3 linked regions of the Sus scrofa genome follow. The protein of the gene in region 1 interacts with the protein of each later gene in a pairwise test. Links are inferred from orthologs where the notes say so. Each region holds a gene or a part of one and is shown on either strand. Other genes may lie near its edges.

Region 1 (10,086 bases):
AAAGTTTAGAATAGTTGTAGAATGCCAAGTCTGGACCTCTGTGTTTCAGATGGGATGGGGGGCTTGGAAAACTGGCCCGAATCAAAAGAGAGATGGAATCCATTGGAATTCTTGAGTGCCTTTGACTCAGAAGTTCCCCTCTTTCTGCTCCTGCCCATTCCCTCTCCCTCCTTGTCTCTGGACGGTGCCGCAGGATCATGCCTGAGCCCCGGGGGGGAAGGTCAGGGCATCCTAGTGGGGCAGTGCAAGCTGCTGACCTATCCCTTCTGCTTCTAGCTGCATAAACAGCATACTTGAAACAGGCAAGGGTAGAGATTACTAATATGTGAATCACATTAAAAATGATACAAGAGAACTTATTCACAAAATAGAAATGGAGTCAAAGGTTTTGAAGCCAAACTTAGGGTTGTGAAAGGGAAAACGCGGGGGGAATAAACTGGGAGATTGGCATATACACACTACGATACACAAGATCAGTAAGTAACAAGCACCTACTGTATAGCACAGGGAACGCTGGCTATTCAGGACTCTTTGATAGCCTACGTGGGGAAAGAATCTGAAAAAGAATGGATATATATATATATATATATATATATCTCCACTTATGGAGATATCCATATATATTTCACTTTTGCTGTGTACCTGAAACTAACACACTAATATAGTAAGTCAACTATATTCCAACAAAATTTATTTAAAAAAGAAAAAAAAGGCAAGGAAATGCAATCCTTGCACATTGGAAATTCAGACCTTCTGCTCCATGAACTGTGGGTCTCTCCTTTGGGTTATGGGGACACTATCTCGAGGCCTGACTCTTCAGTGACAAAACAGTTATCTTTCCCTTACACACCAGGCTTTGCTGTGCTTGAAGTTCAATCTCCAGAGCAGTGGCTGTGCGTTTCAGTTCCAGCATCTCCGTCTGGCAGCCCTGCAGCTGCTCTGCACTGGACAGCTGCTGCTGGTTCAGCTCCTCCGTCTGTAACACAGGCCTGATTAAGAGAAGGCAAATAGGGCACAATCGGGATGCCTGGCATTTTGCTGCTCCAGATGCTCACCTGAACGGCGAACCATTCTTCCATGTCTCTGTGGTTGTTGGCGAGCACGGTTTCATACTGACCACGCATCTCATCCAGGACCTTGTTGAGGTCCACGGTGGGGGCAGTGTTTAGCTCCACACTGAGTCGGTCCCCCAGCTGTTCACGAAGCACGTTGACCTCCTGTGGGTGGATATTATGGAGTAAATAATATCAGAGTGGTGGGAAAAAAAATTCAACTTGACACCCCAAAGGCATCCCATTTCTGGTTTGGGGAGTAGTGGGTAAAAGTGGGGGATCAGATTCAGACTGCCTAACCTGAGTCTGGTTTCATCACTCAGTTTCTCCACCTGTGGAATGGGTATGATTTTTACCTTTACCAGAGAGTTATTGCGAGATACACGAGTTAAGAGACATAGAAAACACTTATCAACACTTATTGGTGCCCAGTAAGTTCTCAGTGTCGGCTGTTATTATCGTCAACAAATGTTCAAGGGGAAGTTAGACTTTGTTATGTCATCCAGCTCTTCATTTTTTTTAGCATCATCAATAAGGGATAAGTAGGAGTTCCTCTGTGGCTCAGTGGTTAATGAACCTGATTAGTATCCATGAGGATGAGGGTTCAATCCCTGGCCTTGATCAGTGGGTTAAGGATCCAGTGTTGTCATGAGCTGTGGTGTAGGTCACAGACGCAGCTCATATCCTGCATTGCTGTGGCTGTGGTGTAGGCTGGCAGCTACAGCTCAGATTTGACCCCTAACCTGGGAACCTCCATATGCCAAGGGTGAGGCCCTAAAAAAGACAAAAGACAAAAAAAAAAAAAAGAGATAAGTATACACTTCACATTTAATGATTTTTTTTTTGGCCATGCCCAATGCATGCAGAAGTTCCTGGGCCAGGGGTTGAACTGTGCCATAGCAGTGACCAGAGCCACAGCAGTGACAATGCTACATATTTAATTGCCAGGCCACCAGGAAACTCCACATTTAGTGATTTTTAAAAGTTTATAAATGCAGCATATTTAAAAGTATTTGTCCAAATACTGCATGAGTCTATATTGCCTTTTTTTTTTCTTTTTCAGGGATGCACCTGCAGTGTGGAAGTTCCCAGGCTAGGGATCCAATTGGAGCTGCAGCTGTCGGCCTACACCACAGCCACCACAATGCTGGATCCAAGCTGCATCTTCAACCTACACTGCAGCTTGCAGCAATGCCGGATCCTTAACCCACTGAGCAAGGCCAGGGATCGGACCTGAATCCTCCTGGATACTAGTCGGGTTCCTAACCTGCTGAGCCATAATGGGAACTCCTATTTCCTTTTTGAAATGGCCTTTATATTCTGCAATGATCAGCCTGCTTTTCACACCTTATGGGTTAGAGTTAAGAGCAGCAGAAAGCCTCCAGGAAAACCATGTGTGGGTTTGCCTCGGCCACAAAAGCAGTGGCAGGTGAAAGGTTTGGTTCCTCCAGCTGGCCCTGGCCAGGGGTTAATTCCGTTACATTCAGAGACACACCAGAATGATCAGGCTGGGGAGTAATAGTGCCTCGAGTCCTTTTCTTCCACCTTAAGCAACATCTGCTCAAGTCCAATCTATATACACAACACGGGTTCTGTCAGTTTAACTGTGCCCCTCTTAGAGCCGTTCAGGGATTTTGCCCTTTTCCTCACCTCTTCATGGTTTTTCTTAAGGCAAAGGAGATCATCCTTCAGAGACTCCACATGAGCTTCCAGGTCAGACTGGCACAGGCTCAGCTCCCCCAGGATCCCACGCAGGCCGCTAATGTCCATCTCCACCAGCTGGCGGAGGGACAGCTCAGCATCGTACCTTTCACAGCAAGAGACACAGCCGGTGCTTACCCCGCTGGACACTGCGCAAAGCGCTGGGCCTACCAATGACTGACGCGTGGACCCAAGGAACCCACATATCGTGACTCCTTCTACTCCCCAAATAATGAAAATTCAAGCTGCGTGAGCATTCTTCGCTTTATATATATATATTTTTGGAGGGGAGGGGGGTTGGAATTTTCTTCTGTTTTCTTTACACAGAATGAAGCATTTTCATAGCACATATTTTATAGGGTTTGCTTAGAGATGAAAACAGAAGGAAATTTCACAATTACTTCTGGCTTAAAAAATATTATGTAGAGAATACCAGTGGTGTGTGTGGAGCTATGTGAGAGAAGGAGAGAAAGAGGCAACCGTAAATTATTTTCCAATTCAAATTAACCTTACTTTGACCTAAAGTCATCGGCAGCCAGTTTGCAGTTGTCAAGCTGTACAGCAAGTCTTGAGTTCTCTGCCTTCGTACACAAGATCTGGGAAGCAAGATATTATGTCATAAGTGGTTCTGTGAAAAGAAACCCAAGTATCTACTTGTTTAACCACTAAGGCATCACTTATCTTTTAAAGTTTTACAAGAAAATATAAAGTAGCTTTCAGGCTGCTTTTATTAACCGTGTCACTTTGTGAAGAAAAAAAGGAGCACCAGTTATAAATGAAATGGAGAAATAAAAAGGTTTAGTTTTTTAATGACACAAGACTTTTTTTTTTAACCGTCACACCTAAGGCAGGGCCAGGGGTCGAACTGGAGCTGCATCTTTAGGCTAATACCACAGCCACCTCAAGAGTAGATCCAAGCCACGTCTGTGACCCAGGCTGTGACAATGCCAGACCCTTGACCCACTGAGTGAGGCAAGGGATTGAACCTGCATCCTCATGGATACCATGTCACGTGAACCTGATGAGCCACAACAGGAACTCCAACCTAAGACATTTTGCAGTATCCCTTGGCACTTAGGTTTTTCTCCAGAAGTAGTTTGTTTTACGACTATAGTACCATCCAAGATAATAAAAAATTCATCAGTAATAAAGGGAAATAATTACTAGGTGAAATTATAGGATTAAAAAGATGGCATTTTGGGAGTTCCCTGGTGGCCTAGCAGTTAAGGATCTGGCATTGTCACTGTCATGGCATGGGTTCAAACCCTGGCCCGGGAACTTCTCCATGCTGCAGATATGCCCCTTCCAAAAGACATTTCAATATCTGCGTTAAAAATACTATACAGGATTTCCCGCTGTGCTCAGTGGGCTCAGCAGAGGCTCTGGACTGCTAGAACGAAAGTTCGATCCTGGCCCAGCACAGTGGGATAAGGATCCCACATTTTCTGCACCTGCAGCGTTAAGTCACAACTGCAGCTCAGATCTGATCCCCAGTCCAGGAACTCCGTGTGCGGGGGTGGGACGGGACAAAAAAGAAAAAAAAACGCGTACATGTGTACACGTACAGTGTGTCACACAGAAGTCCTTCTCGATATAACACTGTTGTTCCTCCTTCCCTAGCTGATAAAGGTAAATTTAGAGGTCAATTATTTTATCATGATCACTTAGTAATTAGCGGCAGCCTAGGGGCTGGTGCTGAGGCCTCCTGACTTTCCTCTGCATCGCATTACCTCTGAGAAGTCCCTCCCCTTTCCCTGGTATCCTGCCACAGAACAGCCTCTAGCAGAACAAAAATAAAGCAAGTCACAGACTGGGAAGGTGGGACTTCAGGGCGATGAAATACGAGACCTTTTGTTGGAGCTCTTCAATGGTGTCGAAGTAACTCTGATAATCAGGGCACACCGACGGGGCGTCCTCTTCACACTGTTCCCGGATCCTGCATTCCAGCTCCGCATTCAGCTCCTCCAGCCCGCGCACCTTCTCCAGATAGTTGGCGAGTCTGTCGTTCAGGAACTGCATCGTCTCCTTCTCGTTGCTGTTGAACGCGCCATCCTCACCCCAGACACAGTTCCCCACCAGGCACGGAGCGTGGCAGCTCCCGGCCAAGCAGCGCGGCCTGAGGCAACCAGCTGATGCACAGGACCTGGGAGTGTGGCATCTGGAGGTGGCACAGGCGCTGGGGAGACACGTGGCGTCCACGGGACCGGTTGAAGCAATCGCGCCATCAGAAGCCCCGGCCCTCGACGCAGAAGAGCAGCAGGAGGGGGAACAGTCAGAAGCCATCCTATCAGACGAGAAGGGCAGAGACTAGTTGCAAAACTCCAGCTGCCTGCCTCCAAAAGTCTCCTTCTCTCCGGAGACTTTTATATCAGCCCCCAAATGGGTATTTACGCAAAGCACGCAAAGCACCGGATGTTTTCCGGTGCCAGTTTTCATATGAACACTCATTAGTGTTGTTTATTTGCTGAAGAAGAGTTTTATGCCTCATAAAACAGGCATAACTTCAAGTTGCTAAATAAGGACACTGTTGCCATGTGCCGGGAGGATAAAAATGCTTTTTTTCAGAAAATCTTCATAGGAAATACTTTCCTTTTGACCAAATAAGGAAAGAAAAGGGAAAATTTGGCCAATCAGTAATTATAGATACAATTGATTGGGCATAAGGAAAATAATATTCCCACAGATTTTGAGCCTGTGCCTTGAAAATGGTTTATGTCTTCTTTTAAAATTAATATTACAAGTCATTTTTTCATTTTTTTAAGGTTTTATTGAGGTAGAGTTGACTTACAAGGTTGTGATAATTTCTGCTGGACAACAAAGCGGTTCAGTTATACACGTGCCCACATCCATTCTCTTACAGGTTCTTTCCCCGCATGGATTATTACAGAATACCGGGTAGAGTTCGCTATGCTATATGGCAGGTGTCCGATGGCCAGTCATTCCATATACCTCAGGGTGCATCTGCCCATCCCAACCTCCTGGTCCATCCCTCCCTGCCCCCACTTATCCCCTTTGGTACCCACAAGTTTGTTTTCAAAGTCTGTGAGTCTGTTTCTGTTCTGCAAATATGTTCATTTGCATCTTTTTTAAGATTCCACTTATAAGTGATATCACTCATTTAAGCGCCCCTTGTTTGTTTGTGTCACCACCATAAAAGTGTCCTGTGTGGTTTGCAGTCCTTGCAATGCTTTCTGTGGTCTCGCCGTGCTCACATGGTAAAGGAGTGAGGTGTGTACTGGGTTTAAAGTGTGTATGTGAACCATACCTACTTGGGTGCAAATTGACAAGTCACTTTACATAATGGATGGGCTTAATTTTTGCCCTCCAGTCCGAAAATATAAATTGGTTATCAAGTTATGGGGTTGTGATCATTTGATTTTTTTTTTTTCTTTTTTAGGGCCACACCTATGGCATGGGGAGGTTCCCAGGCTAGGGGTCCCGTTGGAGCTGTAGCTGCTGGCCTACGCCACAGCCTCAGACAAGCCAGATCCAAGGCACATCTGTGACCTGCACCACAGCTCACAGCAACACTGGATCCTTAACCCATTGACTGAGGCCAGGGATCAAACCCGAAACCTCATGGCTCCTAGTTGGATTATTTCCACTGCGCCACGACAGGAACTCCTGAAGTTGTCATCTTTGATTTCCTGAAAATTGCCGTCTCCACATTTCTAATGCCTCGTTTTCCTATCAGGGATACGGTGGTTTTTTTTTTTTTTTTTTTTAAACTGCATCTCTAATAGAAATGAAATACAAACTCTCTTATAATCTTTTAGTTTCTTGGGAAACTAAACCCTCATTAATTAAATTACATTTCAGAGTAGGGGCAAGGAAGAAACAGGCTTTTCTTCTGGGATATGGAGCCTCTTTTCTCTTTTTTACTAATTTATTTAATCTTGAAGCTCCCAAGAGCATGAAAATTAAAGATACTGGAACTTATGAATAAAATTCTATGAGTTCCAGCAGTTCCATTGGATGAAATCTCTTGTGGTACCAAATGGATAGGTATTTGAGATGTAAGTTTTCAGGATTCTCTCTTAAATTTTATCTTCACTTTTCACTTTTCTTGGCTTTAATTGTGATATTTATTTCCTTAAAAATGTACAGAATAATTTGTCTGCAGAATCTTTAAAATCTTTATGGGAAAAAAACAATTATTCTGACAACATTAATATTTTCTTGATTTAGAATAAACAGTTTTTTTCTAATTCTGAGCACTACTTCCTTAGGTAGCTGATAGCAAAAATAAACAAATAACCAAAGCCAAACCTAGAAATCTTAAATAAATGCATTAAAATAGTCTCTTATGACTTATTATTCATTGAGCAGAGTTGGGTTTTTTCTTTTTAGGGCCGCACTGATGGCATAGGGAAGTTCCCAGGCTAGGGGTTGAATCAGAGCTAGAGCTGCCAGTCTATGCCACGGCCATAGCAAAGTGGGATCCGAGCTGACTGTGCGACCTGCACCATAGCTCACAGCAATGCCAGATACTTAACCCATTGAGTGAGGCAAGAGATGGAACCCAAATTCTCACAGAGACTAGTCAGGTTCATTACCACTGAGCCACAGTGGGAACTCTGAGCAGAGTTGGGTTTGATTTTAGTAGTTCTCTTAATATTTCAACACTTGTGCTTAAAATTCTTAGTGTGCCAATGGTATAAGATGCAGTTCTGCAAAGGACATGAGTTCAAAGTTTCAAAAACATACTTGAAAGTTATAAATATCCACAGGAAAGTTATGATCCCACAGTGACCTAGAGTCAAAGGAAAAGTTTCTTTGAAAAAATAATCCACGTCTTGATTGTCCACCCATAGGTTCCAGGGGTTAAGGATCTGGCATTGTCACTGCTGAGGCTCAGGTCACTACTGTGGCATGGGTTCAATTCCTGGCCCAGGAACTTCTGCATAATGTGGACACAGCCAAACAATTTTACAAAAAGGATGTTACTAGATTTTCCCCCAATATAATTATACCATTTTACATTCTTGACAATAACATTTGAGAGATTTAGTTCCTCCGTATCTTCACCAACATGTGGTATTGTCAGACATTTATAATTAAAATGATTTTTTGGGTCACGTTTAAGTGTTACAGTTTAATTTACATTCTTTTGACTAATGATGTCGAGCAACTTTTCATGTATTTATTGGCCATTTGGATATCTTCTTTTGTGAAGTGACTTTTCAAATCTTCAGCGTATTTTTCATGGGCTGATTATCCAGGAGAAAGTATATGTTACTTGGCAATACAGTCTCTGCAGTTCTGCTAAATTGACCATCTCCAGGATTCTTTTATGCTTCCTGTAGGTCTGAGATTTCATTTGATATAATTATTCTTTTAAAGAAAAAGACTATTCTTTAGTGTTTTTCACAGTATAAATCTTCAGACATTTTTAATCAGTGTTGTTTATCTAAAAATATTTTTGCTTTCCTTTCAAGTTTTGAAGGCTATTTTGCAAGGTATTAGAATTCTGATTAACACTTTTTTTCACTTTCAGGACCTTAAAGATGAGGTTTGACTGAGCAGAGGTTAGATATCATTTTTCTCTTGATCCTTAGGCGTGGGTTTAGCTTTTTCTGGGACAGGTGTAATTTAGTGTGTTCTTTACTCGGGACTGTGATCCTTACTCTTTTCATAAGGCTCCTTACTCTTCTGGAATACGACTGAATGTCTAAGGGACTCAAAGAGCTTTGCCTGCTCCAGAAAGCCTGGAACTTCAAAGTCTTTTAGACTTGAATGACTTCTTGTATTTCCACTCAGCTCTTTATCCCCCAGCAGCCATTCTATGCTAGCATCTTGGAATTTCATCCTGTGTGCACGCAACGCAGCCTTTTGCAAGTACTTGAGCAGATCTTTTCCATAGACCTTTGCTCCTTCCCTCATACCTCATCCTCCTAGAACCCTACTGTGCAAATTCCAGCTGCCTGGACTTCATTTAGATATGCCACTTGTGTCTTGCCATGTCTGCAGCAAACCTCAGTATTCCCCTTTTAATTCTTTCCTGCTTCTCTGCTCCCATGCTCAGTTGGTGACCTAACACCACTGCCCAGTCTCTCTTTGGCAGCGTCTTCTTTATCATAGTCTTTTGATCTCCAGCTTCAGTCAATTTGTCCTTGACTATGTCTTTCTCTTCTTTATCTTTGGGGCAGCTATCTTGATTTCTTAATGGTTCTCACTTTTGTGGTACCACAGAAGTTTATTAATGCTACTGGTAGAGCACTTATATTTTTATCATAATACCATGCCTGGCATTCAATTAATAATGATCAGTTGTATGAGGGAATGAGAGGGTATTGTGTATGTATCTGCCTCATCCTCCAGACAGTCAGCTTATTTTTAGCAGGGACAATAAAATAGATTTTTAGTATGCTTATTGAATGGATGATATTGTTATTATTATTTTATTTTTTTGCAAAAACAGATCAGGCACATCTGGGTTAGTTGATTTATTATTTCATATTTGGTCTTACCTTAAACCATTTTTGGGGCAGAAAGTCAGAGAAGCTATGCCGATATACTGGACCATTTTATATGCAAAGCCATTTAGGTTTCTTGAAACAACAAGAACAATAAAAGCACCCTTTTCGATTTTTCAGATGTTCTCATTTCTTAAAATGCAGACCTTTGGATTCAAGAAATACACTCAATGAATTAACAAAAATAAACAGAAGTAACTATAGACATTTGTGCTATGCCAGAGATGTAAAATTTATTAGGATAATCATGAAGAAGTTCCTCAATTTCCAGAAAGATACCATTCAAGACTGGAAACAGAATTCCCAAAGCACCCAAAGAAAGATACACTTTCACATGAAGGAATCAAGCAACTTTGGCAAGTCTATGAGCATCCACCTATTCCAATTGCCCTAGTTTACTGATCTCTGATCCATGGCCATTGAAAATCTCTTGGTTTCTTTTTTATGGAGGTTGTCAATGAGAGTGCCATCCTTGTTCCAGCATTGAAAGTGGAGCCACATTTGTTGCAGGTACCGAGACAGGTGAATACTAGAGCTTCTGGGTTGACTCGTTCCACATCAGGCTCCGAGCAAAGCAGTCATCACTCAGCAGCATCTTGGGATGCAGGGCTCACTGCCGCCGGGCTGAACGTAGGTTGTAAGATTGAGGGTCTCCAGGCCAGGGGTGGGCTGGGAGGAGTTGAGCAGGAAGCAGGTGGGCACACAGGGCTGAGGGATGTGGCAGGGTGGGGGGCAGTTGTCACAGCAGATTGGCTCCAATAGCCAAGTCGTGTGGGGGCAGGTGCTGGGCAGGCAGACTCCACACCGGCAGAATTTGTCAGAGGAGCAGATGGTGGTGGCGGGGCCGGTGGGGACGC
Region 2 (9,958 bases), on another chromosome or scaffold:
GGGACCATGAGCTACTGGTTCTCCTTGAAGACTGGGGAGGCCGTGGGGCACGTGCCCACTATGACAGTTTCTCCCTGGAGCCTGAGAGTGACCACTACCGCCTACGGCTTGGCCAGTACCATGGAGATGCTGGAGACTCTCTTTCCTGGCATAACGACAAGCCTTTCAGCACTGTGGATAGGGATCGAGACTCCTATTCTGGTAAGGAGCTCTTATTCTGCTCCTGGTGGTGGTGGGGATAGAGGACTTAGTGAGGAAATGAAAGGGGGTGGGGTATGACTTCCCCTCGTAAGTATCAGGGTAGACAAGGAAATGGAGGACAGGACTCTTATTCTGGTGAGAGGGTGGGGAGTTGCAGATTCATTCTCTGACGAGGCAGTAAGAGTCAGGACTCCTACCTTGGTAAAAGGTGGCAGGTGGACTGGGATGAGGTGAACTATGAGAACTAGGATTCTTATTCTAGAAAGGAAGTAGAGAAGGTTGTTTTCCCTGATAAAGGAGTGAGAAGTAAAGCTACTAGTTTGAAGAACAGTAGGGAAAATGTGACTTGTACTGTGGTAAGGGGATAAGGAAGGAATTAAGGCTCTTACTCTGAAGAAAGTTGGGGGGTGGGGTGGGCAGAGAATGCCTGGCAAAAGCCTTGTACTAATGAGATGTTGGTAGAGGCTTTAATTCTGGTGAGACAACACGGATTCTCTCTCCCTTCAGGTAACTGTGCCTTGTACCAGCGGGGAGGCTGGTGGTACCATGCCTGTGCCCACTCCAACCTCAATGGTGTGTGGCATCGTGGTGGCCACTACCGTAGCCGCTACCAGGACGGTGTCTACTGGGCCGAGTTTCGTGGTGGGGCTTACTCTCTCAAGAAGGCGGCCATGCTGATCCGGCCCCTGAGGCTGTGACCATCTATCCATCTTTCCCCCAGGTCCCAGGGGGATGTTTGTTAGCAGGAGCCCAAGTTGTCCTGGCCACACCTCCTTCATGGCTCAGTGCAGGCCATGTCCCACAGACCTCTTCCCATTGTGGATCTGCTCCTGGGGGCCCTGAACACAGGACCCGGGAATCCCCCTGCCAATATCTCAGACCCAGACCGCTCCCCAAGGGCATTTAGATCTCCGTTTGAGCTCACATTTTATAACAACACAAAGTATCCACAGACCGTGTCTGGTTTGCATCTGCACCTGGCAGGGGTCACTCCCCATGCCCACCCTCCTCCTCCTCCTCCTCCTCCTTCAGGTCCTCCAGAATGAGGTTGTCCAGGTCTTCCAGGAGGCCCCCCTGGCTCAGGCAGGTGGCCACTGTGGAGCCACTGCTGATGTGGGGGTTGCTGGGGTGCAGGACTTTGGGCAGGTGGTTCTGCTTCCGGCTCTTGGGGTGCGCACAGGAGGTCCCAGGCACGTGGGGCTCTGGGGAGGGAGAGGTTCTGAGGTCCTTGGACCTTGATGCTACATGAGACTCTGGGGGCAAGGAGGCTAAGGCCACGGGGAGCTCTGGGGAAGGAGGGGCAGAGGCTATAGGCTATGGGCCAGAGCTACAGGAGATTCAGAGGCGAAGGTCACAGGTGTTGAAGCCACCAGAGACTCAGGTACATGGGCGTCACCTGAGACTATGGGAGACGAAATGGGAGCCAAGAACGCAGAGACCACAAGGGCAGAAGCCACAGGACACTGGGGTGTGGGCCACTGGAGTGAGACCACAGAGCCTATGGGTAAGACAATGGAAGGTGGCCAATGCCATGGGAGGTGGGTGTTAGGAGGGGCAAGGGTCCTGAGGGACCTGGAGGTAAGGAGACTTGGAGGACCATGGAAGATGTAGAAGGAGGGGCAGATGCGCTGGGAGACAAAAGGGCCTCCAGGACTGATGTGGCCTTGGGAGGTGTGCAGAAGAGGCAAGCAGAAACCCTGGTACTTAAATCCCCAGGGTGGATGTCCCAGGAATCAAGGCCAGGTAGACTGCCCAGAGTTGGGGAAGGCCACGGGGACACACCAGGCCCTCACCTCGCCGGTTGTAGCAGTCCTCAGCTGAGCAGGAGTGGGTGTGGTTGCTGCGGCGATCCGTGTCCCAGTCCCAGCGCGGAGGGAGGATCCGTGTTGGAAACACGGGGAAGCCGCACCCATAGCAGGGGGATGTGGACCCCATTTGCGCCCAGCCCCTGGGGGCGGGGAGGGCCGTGAGGGTCCAAGGGCTGCCTGGGCCAGTGTGGGGCCGGGGCTAGGAGGGGCAGGGGTGGGGTGGGGCGGGGCCGAGAGTGGGGACTAGAGGTCAGAACCCTCACCAGAAGTTGTGCCCTCACCGGAAGTTGTGCCGACATTTCGGGCAGTGGAACTCAGCCACGCCCCACATCTTGTCGGGTGGCACTGGCTCGTAGCGCTTCCTGCATTTCCTGCATCTGGACACCTGGGGGTGCGGAAAGGGGAGCCGGCTTGAGGTCAGAGGTAAGTACCAACAGCTTGATGTTGACCACAGTGAGATTTACACAATGGAAATTGGCAAACACTATAAATCCGGGGTTGCCTCCACCCCACAAGAGCTGGCTAATAGGCATTTACCAGAAGCACACCACTGGTCAAGGGGTTCAGAAGCCAGATATAGGGTTGTAGTTGCGGGGGGTCAGGTTTGACTTCTGCGGTAGCTGTCAAACTATGTAATCCGAGATCAGGCTCTGGGGTAAAAGTCGAGCTTCTCAAGTTGAAAGAGAAGTCCAGTCGGGGTTGGGGTATGCGATTCGGGTTGATCTCTGAGGTTGGAGGTCGGGGGTTGGGTTCTTAGAGGCTGATGTTCTTCCGTCAAGGGTTTGGACACTGAGGTTGAGGGTTGGGAGTGGAGTCAGGACAGAACCAAGGTCAGGGGTTGGGTTATCACCTCCTTCCGCTGGGGCACGCGGCGCCACCAGACGTGGTCACAGGAAGAGCAAGCGAACTGCCGGTCCACGGCAGGGATGAGGTCTTCCTGGGCACGCTGGAACATGCGTAGGTTGGCTTCTGTCAATGGCAGGAGGGAGGTTGCCACTGCCTGTAGGATGGTGTAGGTGGGGATGGGAGGGTTGTCAGCCCTCTTTTTCCCTTCCTCCCCCTACAGCGTCCCTCGTCCTCACCTAGGGACCTCCCCATGGATGTCCTCCCTGCTCACCTTCCCGTCCCACATCCTGGACTCACCTGGATGTCACGGTCCTGCTTCATATCCTCTGGGGGGTCCTAAGTGGAGACACCAGGGCAGAAACTGGGGATGTGGCTCATGCATCTTTTCTGTGGGTGGGGCTTCTGGGGAGCGGGGGTTCTGGCCCCATATTAAGAGTAGGGTGTCCCTAGGAGTTCTTGCTGTGGAACAGCCAGATCAATGGTGTCCTGGGAGTGCTGGGATGCAGGTTTGATCCCTGGCCCAGCACAGCGATTTAAGGATACTCCATTACTACAGCTGCGGCTTAGGTTGCAACTGAGGCTTAGGTCTGATCCCTTGCCTGGGAACTCCACATGCCGTGAAGTGGCAAAAAAAAAAAAAAAAAAAAAAAAAAGCAGGGTGTTCCTAACTCAGGAGGAGTTGATTGACTGAGAAGTATCTATTTCCTCAGGGCAGGATGTGTGACTTCAGTTGTCCTTAGAGCAACCCTGAGAGGTAGGCATATTTATTACCCCCATTGTTCAGATGGGGAAACTGAGGCCCAGAGCTGGGAGAGGGCTTGCTGAATTTACCCTGAGTGAACCTGGTGGGGCAGGCCTGGACCCCATGCTCCTGTCCTACTCACAAATGCCACACATTTGTTGGCATGGTGACAGGTCACCTCTTTGAGGCCATGCTGCTTTAGGCTAAGTGCTTGGGCTCTGGATTTAGGGAGATGGGGGTTGAAATCCTGGCCTCATTACCTCCAGCTGTGGGGGTGTAGCCAAGCCATTCCCACTACTGAGGGACATCTAAGAGCCCAGGTTCTGACTCTAGGTGGCGGAGGTTCAAATCCCAGCTGTCACCTGCCTTCTGCATGAACCTGGCAAGTGGCTTCATCACCCTGTGTCTCAGTTTTCTCATCTGTAAAATGGACATGCTAGTATCTTAATAGGACCTGTCTCATAGGACCTGTGGCAATGAAATCAGTCAACAGGTAAAAGTCCTGGAGTCCTGCCACAGGGGAAGTGCTTTATCAATGACACTCTTTGCTATTTTATCATACTCATCATATGTATAAATGTAAATATATGAATGTTAAGAGTGTAATTCATCCTTTATTACACTTTTTAAGAACTCTATGCTGGGCCTTTTAGACAGGTGAAACCAGTGCACCAGACACCAAAGCCATCTAAGGGGCAAAGTGGCCCTGTTGTGTCTATGCCTCAAAGCCTTTCATTCATTCATTCATTCATTCCTTTGGGATCCCCTGCCCCTCTCTCCTCCCCCACCTCCTGCTCATCCCAGCCTGTCCGCATGTTCCTTTGCTCGCACAGCCTCCCTCTTCCAGGAAGACCCTTTCTGACTCCTCCCCTTCCCAGGGATGACTCCTCCCTGATCTTGAACAACTTCCTTCCAACTCCTCCAGGAAGCCTTCCCTGACCTCTGTGGCTCCTCTGTAAATGACATTAATCCCGATTCATTTCACTGGCTAGTTTCTTGTCTCACCCCCACTGAATACAGTCAGCATGTAATGAGCACCTACTGTTTGCAGGCCCGCCAGCCAGATACAAGACTGAGAGGTGAATAAGTGAATGAGGCTGTACCATGAGTTGTGGACTGACAGTGCACAGCGGGGGCTCAGCGTGAATGAGCTTACCCTTCTGTTCTCCCTCCCCTTAGCACATCCTTTGAGGGAGAGGGACAGTTTACCTGGGCATCCAGGTCATTACTCAGTTCCTGTCCATCTTTCTGCTTTACCCCTGGTGGGGAGAGTAAGTGTAAGTGAAGGGCCCTTGAAAGATCTTGTGGGAGTTTCAGTGTCCCCAGAACCCCTGATACAGACCGCTCCCCAAAGAGATGATCTCATCGCTTCTTTCTACCCCCAACACAGACCACACCCCCCTCCAGTGCTCCTCTGCAGAACCCCCACCAGGCCCTCGATCCGGCCTGCTCACCGTACACGATGGAGCGCCCCACTCCGGTGTGGTCGCTGCCAAATTTCCTCATCAGAGTCCCCGCCTTCTTGGGGGATACCTTCCCATGAAACTTCTCCCGGAGGCGCCGGACGCTCTTCTCCAGCTGGGGTGGGGACAGGGGGCTCCGAAGGAGGAAGGAGAGGAGCGATGGCCCTTCCCCCATCCCTAGGCATCCTTTTTCTTGGCCTGAACTTGACCCTTGGTTTTGGCTTCTGCACAGCACCCCCCCCCCCCCAATCCCTCTACTGCATTTCCTGGAAAAAGCCAAAGTCCCTACAAGGCACTGGGGGAGGGAGCGGACCAGGGTGAGCGTCCTAGGCTAAGAGAGGAGGCCCGCCAGGTAACCCCTGGCCTCTGACCCTTGACCCAGCAGCCTCCGCTTTTCCTCGAGGAGGCCGCATTTCGCTCTAGGGCATGTGGTGGCCACTCTCCTTTCTGAGGGGAACGAGTGCCAGCCTAAGGATTGGTCTGGGTTTCAGATGGAGTCCCCAGGAACTGCGAAGCCCCTTTCGCGCCCCGAACTCCTCCCCAGCATCTCTCGCAGGCCCCCGGCCCACTGGCAGCCATCTCCTACCTCCACACCTTCCTGAGACATGGTGGCGGCGCAGGTCCCAGCGAGGGTCCGCACTGCGCGCTCAGCGACCCCCTACCTGGGCGCGCCCGTCGGTCCTGCCGCCGCGCAGGGCAGGGGGCGGGGCCTCCAGGCGGGCTCCGCCCTTCCTTTCCGGCCCTCCGTTTCGCTTTCGATAGGGAAAGGGGGGACGGGGCGCGCTGGCTCCGCCTTGGCTCCGCCTCTGCTCTTGCGCCCCAAACCCAGGCGGGCGCCACCGATCTGCACCCTGCGGCGGAGCGCGCAGACCTCGGGCGGGGGAGGCAGCGCGGCCTCTGCAGTCGGTCACATGTCCCCACGCTGCGCGGGGTCCGCGTCTTCACGTCCCTCGTGGGGGTGGGGCCGCATCGGAAGGCCGCGGCGAGTTTCCGCGCCCCCGTTAGCTCGCGCCCCCCCATTTCATTGTTCCATCCCCTCCCCTCCCCGGGAATCAGGCAGTATTCAGCACCTGGACCCCTTTCTTGCTCTGAGTCTCTTACCTGGCCACGTCCCCTTTCTGAACCTCAATTTACTCCTCTGTAAGATGGGATGATGGTAGTGGCTACAGTCTGGGTGTATTTTGGCGGCGGGGCGGTGGCGGGGGCGGTGTGTGTTTGCCAGGATTCGATTCCCTGCGTAGAGCAGTTAGTAGCGCCTGGCAGGTTGTAGACACTTAACTGGTCACTGGGTCACCTACTATGTGTAAGATAAGGAGGGGCAAGCAGCTGGGGGGAAGGAAGAGATGCTTGTTAAGAACACAAATTCCCGGGGTCTCTAGCAGTTGTCCAGAGTTAGGCTGTCTAGGGGATTACAGGGAATTTACACTGTAAATGGGAAGGTTGAGAACCCCAGGGGTCCGAACTTTTCTAACCTAGCAGGGGGCGAAGAGGGGGCTAGAGGAGCTCTTAGGAAGGGCTCTGGCCCAGCCTGAAGGCTTCAGAAATGGCTTCTCTGAGGAATCCTTGAAGTATGAGGTCTCAGCTAAGCGAAGAATGGAGTAGGGAAGGAGGGAGCTAGTCCTGCAAAGACCCCAGAATCAAGAGAATCTAGCGCTTTAATCTAGGGCTTCTCAACCTCAGCTCTACTTGGGGCTGGATGGTTCTTTGTGGTGGGGACCTGCCCTGTGCATTGTAGGGTTTTGAGCTGCATCCCTGGCCTCTACCCACCAGATGCCAGTGGCACACTTGCCCCAGTTGAGACAACTGAAAGTGTCTCCAGATGCTGCCAAATACCCTCTGAGGGGCTAAATTGCATTAGGACAAATGACTCCAAAAATCATTTTTCAGTGAGCACCCCTATGTTCAAGCTCCATCCCCAGGTGGCTATTTGTGTATAAACTATATACAAATACAATTATACTGAGAGATTCCATAGATTATTTAATAATAATGTATTCAGTACATAAAGATATTCCTCAGCAGACTAAAAAAAAAAGGACATTAAAAATAGAAATGTTCCGGGAGTTCCCGTCGTGGCGCAGTGGTTAACGAATCCGACTAGGAACCATGAGGTTGCGGGTTCGGTCCCTGCCCTTGCTCAGTGGGTTAATGATCCGGCGTTGCCGTGAGCTGTGGTGTAGGTTGCAGACGCGGCTCGGATCCCGCGTTGCTGTGCCTCTGGCGTAGGCCGGTGGCTACAGTTCCGATTCAACCCCTAGCCTGGGAACCTCCATATGCCTCGGGCGCGGCCCAAGAAATAGCAACAACAACAACAACGACAAAAGACAAAAAGACAAAGGCAAAAATAAATAAATAAATAAATAAATATTATTAAAAAAAAAAAAAAAAAAAAAAAATAGAAATGTTCCGGAGTTCCCACTGTGACGCATCGGAATCGGTGGTGTTCCTGGAGTGCTGGGATGCAGGTTCGATCCCCGGCCCTGCACAGTGGGTTAAGGATCTTGCATTGCCTCAGCTGCAGCATAGGTCATAACTGTGGTTTGGATCTGATCCCTGGCCTGGGAACTCCATAAGCCAAGGGGCTGCCAAAAAACAAAAAAAAGAGAAGTGTTCTAATGTGTTCTTGAACCTCAACCTTTTGTTTGTGGGGTCTATGCACCTTTCTCTGGAGCCTGCTCTATTAGTGAATATAAATAGTTCACAGTTCTTTGTGGCTGGCCAGTGGGATTGCAAGCAGGGATGGGGGCCTTTAGGCAGCACATAGGACCTGGGATTTTATCCTGAGGGAAGTGGGGAGGTGTGGAGGGGCTCTCCCATTATAATTGCCAATTACTCCTTATCCAGTGGAGGGGGAGGGCATGGCTACATCCCATCCCTTGGTTAGGGTGGGCATTGAGCAGGTAGGAAACGGGTGGGAACCTAAAACAGCCCTGTTACAAGTCAGGTCTGCTAGATTCTCATCATAATGGCCACCATAGTGAGAACTTACTCTGTGCCAGCCACTGTGGACACAGCACCAAATAAAACAAATCCTCATCGAGCTAGCATTCTAGTAGGGGAGACAAGAAACAAGGATAGGAGATAAGTGCCAGGAGGAAAAATGAACTGGGTAGGGGGATGGGTAAAGGGAGTTTAGAAATGGTTGTGGGAAGTAACAGCTGAGGGGAGATCTGAAGGATGTGGCGAGGGGGAGAATTCCAGGTAGAAGGTGGGAGCCTGGGACTGTTGTTACCAGGTATTATAATTCTCTATTGCTGCATAGCAAATTATCCCCAAGCATTAGTGGCTTAAAACAAGAAACAAACCCAACTAGTATCCATGAAGATGTAGGTTCAATCCCTGGCCTCACTCAGTGGGTTAAAGATCCGGTGTTGCTGTGAGCCGTGGTGTAGGTTGCAGATGCTGCTTGGATCCCGTGTTGCTGTGACTGTGTCTATGTCCAGCAGCTGCAGCTCCATTTTGAACCCTATCCTGGGAACTTCCATATGCCGAGGATGTGGCCCTAAAAAGCAAAAAAAAAAAAAAAAAAAAAAAAAAAGGAAACACGTTTTAGTTCATATAGCTTTTTGGGTCAGGAATCCAAGAGTAACTGGGCTTTCTGACTCAGGGTCTCTATAACGTTATAATCGAGATGTTGCCTGGGACTTCAGTCATCTGAAGTTTTGACTGGGGCTAGAAGATCTTACTTCCGAGGTGGCTCATGCACATGGCAGGTATGTGGCTGCTGGTTGTTGGCCGGATGCCTCAGTTCCTCCCTAATTGGGCTGCTTGAGCTTGATACTCTCAACTTGGCAGCTGGCCTCCTCAGAACAAGTGATCCGAGGAAGGAAAGCCAGGTGGAAGTTGTATCTTTATAATCTAACCTCCAGAGTCACATAGCACCACTTCTGCTGCTGCATCCTCTATGTTAAAATCCAGTCACTAGATCTAGCCCATGTCTAGGGATTGGGGGATAAAGACGGTCCTCTTTCTGCTCCTCCCCTACCATTTCCTGCTGGAGCCTTTCACTGGCTGCACCAGAAGGTAAGGAAAGTAAGGGAGTCAGTCACACAGTTAGCCTCTCAGGGCTCAGAGCAGGGGGAGAAGGGTGAGAGTCAATCTGGAGGGACAAAGATACAACCCAAGTGTTGAATTTTGGCATTTGTAGGTGAACAGAAAAACAAAGATTCCCAGCGATCACGTGGGGGCGCTGCCTGCCTGCCAGTAGCTCTGTTTGAGCTTTGTGGCCATCTTGGGCTGTTCAGATGTGGCTGGTGCAGTGATGTGAACTTTACTGCATTTTATCCTTTATTTTCATAAAAAGGCATAGAAGGGGATGAAATAGATGTGCCGATAACAGTGATAAGAAGTGTAACCCCAGAGTTCCCACTGTGGCGCAATGAGGCTGGTGGCTTCTCTGCATCTCCAGGATACAGGTTCGATCCCTGGCCTGGCAGGGTTGCAAGTGCGGCTCAGATCTGATCCCTGGCCCAGGAACTCCATATGCTGTGGGATAGCCAAAATAGGACCCCCCCCCCCAAAAAAAAAGAAGTGTAACCTCTGGTAATTTAGTCTAATTGAGTCAAAGATGGAGCCATTTGAGCCATCCGTTCATTAATTTGACATGCATGCATCAAGCGCCTCTTACGGGGGGCAGACACGGTTCTGGGCATCATTTCTACCATTCCCGAGTCATAGTCTTTTCTTTCTTTCTTTTTTTTTTTTCTTTTTAGGGCTCCACCTGAGAAGTTCCCAGGCTAGGGGTCAAATCAGAGCTGCAGCTGCCAGCCTACAACACAGCCACAGCAACACGGGATCCAAACTGAGTCTGCAGCCCACACCATGACTTGTGGCAACACCTGATCCTTAACCCACTGATTGAGGCCAGGGATCAAACCTGCATCCTCTTGGATACTACC
Region 3 (9,923 bases), on another chromosome or scaffold:
CTAACACAGCCTGGCAGTCACATTTTTGAACAGAACAGACTCCAACGTGTTTACAGACGCGACTGTATTAAGGTGTCGTATTAAAATTGTGAGGCTAAATGAGTAAATCATGTCATTGGTTCCAATCTGAAACAAACGGGGAAAAGCGCCTTTAACAGAACAGCCTGGGCCACCTGAACACAGGCGCCCAGGGCAATCCGGCCAAGGACAGGCCGCCACACTGGCCGCACACAACAGCCACTTGACAGCTGTGTGCTTAAGGCCCTTCCTCCTCTCACTGCCCTCTCTGCATCACGAAATCCACTTCACTTGTATTTATGGCATCTACTTAAAAGCATGTAATCTCCAAAATCACAACCAAGAAGTTCCCAGATTGAGGCAGAAAGGAAACAGGCAGTTCCAGGGCACAGGCAGTAGCACAGAAGGTGCCAGGAGGCCAGGGCAGTCCTCACCGTGCTTGCAGACACCCACTCGGTCCTTCAGCCATACCCCGCCAGGCACAGGGCACAAAGCAGGCAGGAGGCCCTCGGGGTCCCTCCACCCAACGGAGACCCCACCCCTGCTAGTAAAAGAGGTGACATCAAACCACTAATGTTGCAACAAGCTATTGAAATTACACAAGCGGATCCTGTTGGGAAGGAGAAGGATGTCAGGCCATGATGAACAGGGGACCCAAGGCTGAGCTTGGACTGAGGGGTGGAGAAGCGGGTGAGGAGACCTAGTTCCAAGAATTGGCAACAGTGTGTGCAAAGGCCCTGGGGCCAAACCGGGCTCCCAGAGAGCAAGGAAGCAAAACAGGCAGGGGGCTAAAGCTTAGTGAACAGGACAGGCGCCATCAGCCGAGGCAAGGAGAACAAAGGCCAGGATCAGGCAGGTCCTCAGGAGCCTACAGAGAGTGGGAAGCCATGAATGATGGGTACGGATCTGCTTTGGTCTGGACCGCTTAGAAGCCATTTGCAAACAGCCTGGGCCAGAGCCCCCCCCAGACCCAGGAGGCCAGGAGAGCTTGGGCGAGTCAGAGAAACGCCCCCGGAGTTCTTCCAGTACTAAGCGTGTGTATCAGTGACTAAGGACCTGGTCTCCCTCCTTTATAAATAGGCTTGAAGAGTATTTTCTTCCTCCAACGGAAATAGCAGACCTCTACAAAAATACACTATTACGAAGTCAGATGTGCTTACAAGAAAATTTCTCCAATGCCAACATACATAGAAGACAACCAAAGACACTCATATCCCATTTTCCTGACACCCCCAGAAGGCCACCATGACCACTTTAAAGACCCAAGTATTTAAAAAACAGAAGAGACGGGCCTGCTTTTCACTTACACACTGCACACTTCTGCTGACCTGTGAGCCAGTGCATGGATTTCCACAGGAGGCAAGTACTAAAATGTATTTAATAAGTAGCACCTTTAGAAATACTGTAGCAATAACATCCTGTGAGTATCTGGATATCCATGTACTTATCACAGTCCTCCCCAAGAATCAATTCCAACAAGTAGAACTGCTGGAACAAAAGGGATAACCATTGAAAAACGTGACACATAAAACTCTTCTGGAGAGTAATTAAGTAATCGGTGACGGCCAAAACTTATATTCTGCTTACTATGTGCCAGGGCCTGTTGTAAGCACTTTCCATATATTAACTTATTTAAATTTCACAAAAGCCACGTAAGATAATTATTATCGCCTCCACCAACAGGTGCTGTTAAACTTAACCCATGCTAATATGGTGGGCAGACATGAAGTTGTTTGGTTGAATTTCTTTATCCGTAAAGCTAAGCCTTTTTTATTATTCACTGTGATTTGCTTTGCAGGTGTATGCACTTTGGGCATCACGTAAGAGGGATGCTTGTCTTTTTCTTATTGGTTTGTAAAAGCTCTTTACATATTGACTATTGAGCTTAGGTAGCCATTCTCTCACTGTCTCTTACCCCACTTAGGGAGTCTTTTGACAAAAAAACGTTAAAATGTTCTTTCATTCTCACACTGTTAAATCTGTCAATGTTTTCTCTTTAAAGTTTCTGGCTTGGTGTTATAATAAGAATGGATTAAATCAGTGGTTTTTCCAAGTTTCCGGACTTGGAATGCTTTGTTCCAAGGCAGCCCACGCTGCTGAGGGTCACCTGTACCCCGATCCGCTCACCAGGCAGCCTCAGAAGATCCAAGCATCCCATGTGACCACCAGGGACGGTCAGGATCCTTTCCAGGCTACAGCACCACACCCGAGAAGACAGCCCAGGAAGGCCAGAACGATTCCCCTGGCCCTACCGAAGCGGTGTCATCTACAGCAGCTCTGACAGCCCCCGACAGGACGCTAAACCCAAAGCGGTTCCTCCCCCGAGAGGCCCTGCTCTCCCCACACCCCGACCGAGCTGGGCTCCCAGATCAGAAGCAGAGGCGCGGACGCGCAGGATCAGCATCCGGGGCTTGACACAGCCAGGGGTACCGGCTGCTGCATCTTCCCGGCTCCTCGGGCGCCTCTTCTGCAAAGCGGGTGTAGGAAGAGCCACCCCCAAGGCGGTGGGGAGAGGAACGGGACCTCCGTGGCAAGTATGGACCACGGCACGGGGCCCCAAGGAGGTGCGCCTCACGGGGTAGCTGCTGGTCTGTGGTACGACCACAGCTGACCCTTGGACGTGTGGGGGTTGGGGTGCCGACCCCGGACACAGGTGAAAATCGGGGTCAGCCCTCCGTGTCCATGGTTCCACGTGCCGGATTCAATCAACCGCAGATCAGGTGGCACTGGAGGACTCACTGAAAAGAATCCGCGTGAAAGGGGACCCGTGCGGTCGAAGCCCCTGCTGTTGGAGCGTCACCTGCACATGATCTGCTCCGTGGGAAAGGGGAGAACCACGCTGATCCCCACATCTGCTGACCAGATGCCCACCGGTCCCCAGTGACACCGAGGGTCACTGCGGAGGCAGCACCTGTGGGGCCCTGGCCCTTCCTCCCGGGGAGTGAGCAGAAGGCTAGGAGGCGGGCCGGAAAAGGCATCAGGGACCACCCCGCTCCCCAAGCAGGCCCACCCGCCCCATCTCCCCACTCACACCAGCCAGGAGATGAAAAGGGCCGCGGGACCGGAGCTCCCGATCCTCGCTCGGTGACACCTCTCCCGAAGAAACGCCCGCGAACACACGCCCTGAGGTCTGTGAGCTGCAGCATCAACTTGACACAGGGCCCCTCTCTAACTTCAACCAGAAGATCCTCCACCTTCCTCTAGGTCAAGGCCAAAGCCCTGAGCCCCCTGCACGCCCCGGCACATCCTGACCGCCCATCGGGGACGGAAACCAAACCCCCTCCAGGCCAGACCAGCAGGGGCTGCGACCTGGTCCAGGGACCCGAGGCGCAGCCACAGCCCGAGGCCCCGCAGCCTCCCGGCGGCAGCAGTGGTCTTGCGCTCTCGGCATCTCCCTCGCTCCCTCCATCAGGCACTAATCTATTACTCATGGCAGTTTCTGAGTGATGAAAGCCCAGCCGTTTTCAATAGAGCACGGTATGGACGAATTCTGCAGGAGTGATGAAATGTTTCTTCTGCTCTGGCAATTAGGACGGCACAAAGTCGCCTGTCCCCGGTGCCACCCCAACATCAAAGGATGAGAATTCAAAGCCACTCATGCTGCATTGAAACCTCACAATGAAGCTGGAAAATGGAAGTCGATTACTGGACATAAATATGCAGTAGTTAAAAGGAAAGAGTTATAATGAAATTAAACTGCAGCAACCCCACGATGTGTGGAAACTTCCAGAACTCAAGGCCTCCTGGTAAACATGGAGAAGGGCACCCTCAGACAGCAGGTCTCCGACCACTGAGTCTGGACCTGCTCCCCAGCTGCACGTGGCCGGGGTGCCAGGCTGGTCTGTCCATCTTGCTACAGCAAGGGCCCCCACAGCCTCTGCGAACTGGGCATTTAGAGATTTTTTTTTATTTTGCATGGCTGTGAAGCTGCTGACCACAGAACATTCTCTCCTGGCTCACGGCTGCTCAGGCCACATCTGTCCTTGGTCCCCAGGCCTTCCAGGCCTACGTGCAGACCACAGTCACCCACCCCCCCACCCCCGCCTCCAACCTCCCCCATCCCAGGGCTCTCCCAGGGGCACTCGAGCTGCCAGGTCCCCTTGCAGGAGGAAGAACCAACCCTAAAGAGGGCAGTGTTACAACTGCCTGCGCAGAAATCCTGCTTCTTTTCTGATTGATTACTGCTCTCTTTAGGAAGGTTTCTGATCTTGAAAATAAAAGCCCAGAACACAGAAAGCTATAGAAGTCTAACAATGTGTCAGAGTGTGTGTTTTTAAGGCAGGAAAATACTTCCCTCCCACACAAATGTGAGTTCTGGGGAAAGATGCCACAGATCCCAGGGAGCAGAGTATCTGGGAAAGCTTGATCAGTCTTAAAAATAGACAATTGAACACAGATTTTAGAATTCTCAGGAGCTACCTGAAAAAAATTTAAACCCCACATATTTTTGATATCCAGAGCTCCATTCTGATGAAACTTCTAACAGGGTGGCATTTTGCATTTCCAATTATAATAGAGTAATTGTGTTGCCATAGTGACTGCAAAATTCTGCAATAACTTTTGTTGCTTTGTAATTGCTGTAGTGTATATTTGTGTACAAGCAGCTGAGTTTTCTTAATTCAATCTCTCGCCCTCCCCCCCCACCTTTCCTGGCCCGATCCTGAAACCACCACACCTGTGCTCACAGCTTTCATTCGCTTCACCGTCTCCGAAATAACGTACAGAATTATCAGAAGCAACGAAAACTCAAGGCAATCACGATCATGTTACAAAAGAAAAAGTGAAACCAGGCCAAGGTGCAAACCCACCAGAATTCCCATCCCGCTGGGCTGGCGCTGGGCGAGGGCTGTTTACATGTTTGCTCCCAGGCCTCTCATGCTTAGGTGGTTTGTGGGAATAAACAGAAAAGCCTGAGTAGAGAAAAGAGGGGGAAGCAAAGTAACTACCCAGGCCCTTTCCTCCCTCACCGAGGGCAGGCGGAGCTGCTGCGAGCAATTAGGTAGGTCTCTACAGTAATGCAATTAGGATTTAGTTAAGAAAGTCATTAGTTTTAAAATAACTTGAGTTTAATTTCTGCAACACTTTATTTGAAAATTGTGTCACAGCAGGTCAATTTACAACATGCAATAAAGCAAACACTCATATCAGCTGCTGCAAGTTATTACAAATTTTTGATGTGCATTAAATGAGTACACTGGGTCCCACCCCCGGCCTTTCCGACTGATACGCACGATCTCCTGCTAGAACAGTGTCAAATAATTCCACGCTAAATGTAAATACGAGATAATTTGCTTATAATTCCATGGTGTGTGCTTGCAACGCCCGGAAACGCGGCTCACATCCTCGGGGCAGGACGGGGCCACAGCTCGGCCTGTGGGAAGCCTGCGGGCACCCACTCGGGTCGTGAGCACCCCCACCCCTGCCGTTCCGGGCCGGGGCACACACCAGGCGACGGCGCACCCCGCCCGCGAGCCCCGCGGAGGGACGTTTTTCTGCAAACTCACAGCCTCGACAAAGTTACATAAACGGCGCCCGCCCGGGCTCGGGAGCCCCCGGCCCACCTGCCGAGGGCTCGGCCTGGACGGGCGCGGGCGCCCGGGGCCAGCCGGCCATCCTGCCCCGGCCGCGCGTCGGCCCTCGCCGGCTGGGGCAGCAGGGGAAGGTCCAGGACGGGTCCTCCCGCTCCGGACGCCCGCGGGCTGGCGCCACGCGCGGCCTGGGCGCACGGGCCGGGCCGGGCCGGCCGGCCGGGCGGACCCCGGCGTCCACCTGCCGGGGCCGGGCGGCGGGGGGCGTGGAGGCCGGCGGGCGGCCTGCGGGCGGGCGGGGGGTGGACAATGGCCCGCGGGCCGGGCCGGGGCAGCGCTTACCGCGGCGGCGGCGGCGGCGGCGGGCGCTCTAGCCCCGCGCGGGCGCTCCGAGCCGCATCTCCTCAGCCTGCGCCGCCACCACCACCGCGGGCGGCAGGCGGGCGGGCGCTCGGGCGGCGGCGACAGCGGGGACGCGGCCGCGGCGCGCCGGGCCCAGGCGGCTGAGGCGGCGGCGCGGGCGGGCGGGCGGCGGGCGGGCGCGCGGGCTCGGGCGCGGCGGCGGCGGCGGCGGCGGCGGCGGGGACGGTGCTCCGCGGCGGCGGCCCCACAACCTCCCCTCCTCATTCACAAAAAATTGACCCACGTTGAACCATGATGCTGCTCCCCCCTCCAGCACCGAGCGGGGCACTGATAGGCCACCGCCGACGCCCGTCAGCCGCCCCGGCCCCGCCCCCCGGCGGGCGGCTCTGCAGCCGTTGGCTGCGGCGGCTTTGCATCACCTCCCCTCGCGGGCCCCTCCCTCCTGCCGGGTTTCTAATGAAGAGCTCGTCAATTACGGCTCGGCCCCGCCCTCCCCGGGAGCCCGGCCGTCCTTCCATTGGTCCGCGGGAGCCCCGGGTACCGCCCCGTTTGCTCCCGCCCCTCGGCCAGCGGCCGCCAACCGCCAGGCCCGACGCCCTACGAACGGCAGGGATGCTCCACCCCTACCCGCCTTCTCCGGTACGTCCTGGTTCCTATTGGCTGCCGGAGCTGCCAATCCCAGGGGCGGGGCTATCAGAGGACGCTCCAGGCGCCAGCCGCTGGGCGCTTGGCGGTTGGGAAAGTGGAGAGAGCCCGGGCTTGTGGTGACTGTGAGCAGGGCAGGGGCTCTGGCGAGCTTCACTCTCCGGCCCCCCCGAGAGCTGCCCACGGTGGCTTAACAATCATGACCGCGGGCCTGCCCGCCTAGTGGGCGCAGACCGGGGCGGAGGCTGAGGCGGGGAGCGGGTTAGGCCCGGCCACAGCCTCCATCTTGGGTACTGGCAGTGGTCACGTGGTGGTGCCGCCTCCCGGAGGCGCAGGGGCGGCGCGAGAGGCGAGTGCGCAGGCGCAGCGGGCCCCGCCCTGCCCCGCGGCGGGAACGCGGCCTTTGGGGCTGGGGCTGGGCTGGCCGGCCTTCCCGCGGGCGTGGGGCGGGCGCAGCGCGCCTGCGCGGCTGGGAGGGACGGGGCGGCTGGCTCGCCGGGTGGTCCCAGCCGTGTCCGCCTCGCTCGACTCCGTCGACCAGCCCGTCTGCCTTGGGTGCTCAGTGTTTGAGGGATGCCGTGCTGGGGTGGTTTGTGCTGTCAAGCGGCCGCATGGGGCTTCGCGGAGGCCCTCGGAGACCCCTTGGGCCGCCCACCCGAAGGGCGTGGCGGGGTCTCCGGCGACCACCCCCTGGTCGTTTCATTTCCCAGCCTCGGTGCGCCTAACGTTTTTCAGAATCCCTGCTCTCCACCTAGTGAGGGAAGCACTGAGGGTGCGCGGATGCACGAGCTGAGAGCCAAGATGAGTGTTGAGACCTGGAGTTCCTGGAGGATGGCATCGTGAGAGAATGAAAGACTCAACAGTGGGTTCCAACTGCAGCACTTGGAGGTCCTATTTATGAAACACTTCCTTTAATAAGAGTGCTGTATGCAGTCCAAAGGGTTCTAGAATTAATTTGCTTCCATGAAACTTTATACCTCGCTGGACATTTGCAAACCTCTCAGGATGGTTCACAACCAAACACGTGACCACTGCTCAAAAAAACGTGAGCTCTAATAGCCAAATTTTGTTAAATAAGTTGTCTCTTAACCAAAGCAGCTTTTTTTCCTAGAAAGTAGAATGCGGGGTCCTCGTTTAAGAACTGCGTCCAGGAGTTCCCGACATCGCTCGGCGGTTAACAAATCCGACTAGCATCCATGAGGACACAGGTTCCATCCCTGGCCTTGTTCCGTGCGTTAAGGATCCCGCGTGGCCGTCAGTTGTGGTGTAGGGTGCAGATTTGGCTCAGATTCTGTGTGGCCAAGGCTGTGATGTAGGCCAGCAGCTATAGCTCCGATTCTACCCTAGCCTGGGAACCTCACTATGCCCCCAGTGCAGCCCTAAAAAAGCAAAAAACAAACAAACAAAAAAAACCCCAAACAACTGCATCCAAGGAGTTCCCACTATAGCCTCTCCGATTAAGCCTGGCATTGACTCTGGGGTCAGAGCCACAGTTTCTGTGCCTGGCCTGGGAACTTCCATATGCCCCAGATGCGGCCAAAAAAAAAAAAAAAAAACCTGCCTCCAAGAGTTTATTATCTTCAAATACCAAACTGCCCTTGTTGGACAGGCTGTATAACATGAACCTGGAGGCCAGAGTTGCGCTGAAGTGCGCATGAAGTGACACAGCAGGTCTGACAGAGCAGGAGCCTTACCTGTCTGGCGAACTTGGTCATGAAAGAAGAAGAATCGTGGAGGAACTGCCGGAAGTGACGGGGTTATCAGAGGGGTCTGCCGGGTCAGGGGAGAGGCCTGAGCTGACACCTGCCCCTCCTGGGTTATACCAGAGAGAGGCACACAGTGGCCTCACTGAGTGATGTGAGCACTTCCAAGCTTTGGGGCCTGATGCTCTTTCCAAAGAGGAAAGTAGAAGCCCTTCTGTTTTCATAAAAATCAGTTTTGTGTTATTTTTTTAAAGTCTCCAGAACTTAAAGTCAAATCAGAAAATAGGCCAGTTTAATTATAGCTCCTAGAATAATCCTAGAGGCAAAGAGAGCTGAAACCTGATGGAGTAGCTGCGACAGAGTCGACCTGCGGGATGCTGGCAGAGACGTGTGGGTCCTTTACTGTGAGAGCCTTTCCTGGATTCACTTTCTTCTTACGGCCGCAGACGCGGCATGTGGAAGTTCCCAGGCTGGGGCTTGAATCAGAGCTGCAGCTGCCAGCCTACACCACAGCCACTGCAACACCAGATCCTTAGCATCGTGAGCAGGGCCAAGGATCAAACCATATCCTCTCGGAGACCATGTCGGGTTCTTAACCCACTGAGCCGCAGTGGGAACTCCAGCCTTTGCTTTTAGAGATGACCAGAGATTCGTTTTATGTATGTACGTATGTATGAATTTGCTTTTTAGGGCCGCACCCGTGGCACATGGAGGTTCCCAGGCTACAGGTCGAATCAGACCTATAGCTGCCAGCTTACACCACAGCCACAGCAACGTGGGATCCGAGCCACATCTGCGACCTACACCACATCTCACGGCAATGCCAGATCCTTAACCTACTGAGCGAGGCCAGGGATCGAACCCACATCCTCATGGATCTTCGTTGGGTTCATTAGCTGCTGAGCCAGGAAGGGGAATTGGAGAATAGTTTTAATATTCTTCATAAGTGATTCTTTCAGAGGAAAATACAGCTATATGGGTGAAAACACAATTTTCTAAATGAAAATGGACAATTTTGCAATATGTAAAATATCTTGAGATATTAAGTGATGATTAGAAAACCTTGGGCATCCTAAGCAGCATTGCCTGTCCCGAGACGCAGATGCCAGGTGACCTCAGAAGGTTAAAGGCGTGGCTGGAGACCATGACCCCGTGACGCGGCCAGCGATGGAGGGTGCGCGCCTCACGCTTTCCTGTCAAAGCTGAAGCAGAGTCGGTGGCTAAGGAACCTTTGGAGGGTACGCGTTAGGCTCCCGCTACTCACAGAGTAAACAAGCAGGAGAAAACGCAGAGGTGCTGCGTGAGAGTCTCCTAAAGCTCATTAACAAGTCCCACAGCAGCGCAAATCAGCTATAATTCAATAAAACTTAAAGAAAAATCCACGGTGGGGGCGGGCGGAACAGCAGCCACTCTCATTTAACCACGTGAGGGAGACACGCCTGAGGACTGAGTCCCGTGAGGAGTTCTGGGAAGTGGATCCCAGCCCGGATTCATTGGGAAGAATTCTAGCCGGAGAAACGAGCAGCGCCCCTGCCGCGCGCCTTTCGGGCCTCCCCTGAATCCTGAGGGCTCCTCCAGGGATTGAGGCGCCTGGGAAATGTCAGGCCCCAACGGGGAGAAGAACCCCGATTCCCTTCTCTGGAAAAGAGGAACATGGGGGCTGGGG

Evidence for each region. The genes of interacting proteins can lie anywhere in the genome.
Region 2: the proteins of KRT40 (region 1) and C2H19orf66 interact in binary tests that used the Homo sapiens proteins (3 or more experiments, as listed by UniProt). The two-hybrid records come from large-scale screens. The link is inferred for Sus scrofa from reciprocal best matches to the Homo sapiens genes KRT40 and SHFL.
Region 3: the proteins of KRT40 (region 1) and HDAC4 interact in binary tests that used the Homo sapiens proteins (3 or more experiments, as listed by UniProt). The two-hybrid records come from large-scale screens. The link is inferred for Sus scrofa from reciprocal best matches to the Homo sapiens genes KRT40 and HDAC4.

What each region holds. Positions count from the first base shown.
Region 1 is NC_010454.4:21,476,848-21,486,933, reverse strand, and holds the start of KRT40 (keratin, type I cytoskeletal 40), read right to left. Parts: upstream 6,210-10,086; 5' UTR 5,037-6,209; coding exon 4,602-5,036; intron 3,350-4,601; coding exon 3,267-3,349; intron 2,860-3,266; coding exon 2,703-2,859; intron 1,218-2,702; coding exon 1,056-1,217; intron 977-1,055; coding exon 851-976; intron 1-850. Other genes in the region: keratin-associated protein 3-2, read right to left, coding at 9,815-10,086. UniProt on the Homo sapiens protein: May play a role in late hair differentiation.
Region 2 is NC_010444.4:68,938,262-68,948,219, reverse strand, and holds C2H19orf66 (UPF0515 protein C19orf66 homolog), read right to left. Parts: upstream 5,975-9,958; 5' UTR 5,668-5,974; coding exon 5,647-5,667; intron 5,176-5,646; coding exon 5,052-5,175; intron 4,857-5,051; coding exon 4,807-4,856; intron 3,192-4,806; coding exon 3,153-3,191; intron 3,010-3,152; coding exon 2,860-3,009; intron 2,395-2,859; coding exon 2,291-2,394; intron 2,150-2,290; coding exon 1,995-2,149; intron 1,404-1,994; coding exon 1,189-1,403; 3' UTR 1,113-1,188; downstream 1-1,112. Other genes in the region: ANGPTL6 (angiopoietin-related protein 6), read left to right, coding at 1-201, 709-899.
Region 3 is NC_010457.5:138,651,293-138,661,215, forward strand, and holds the start of HDAC4 (histone deacetylase 4), read right to left. Parts: upstream 5,975-9,923; 5' UTR 5,889-5,974; intron 1-5,888. UniProt on the Homo sapiens protein: Responsible for the deacetylation of lysine residues on the N-terminal part of the core histones (H2A, H2B, H3 and H4).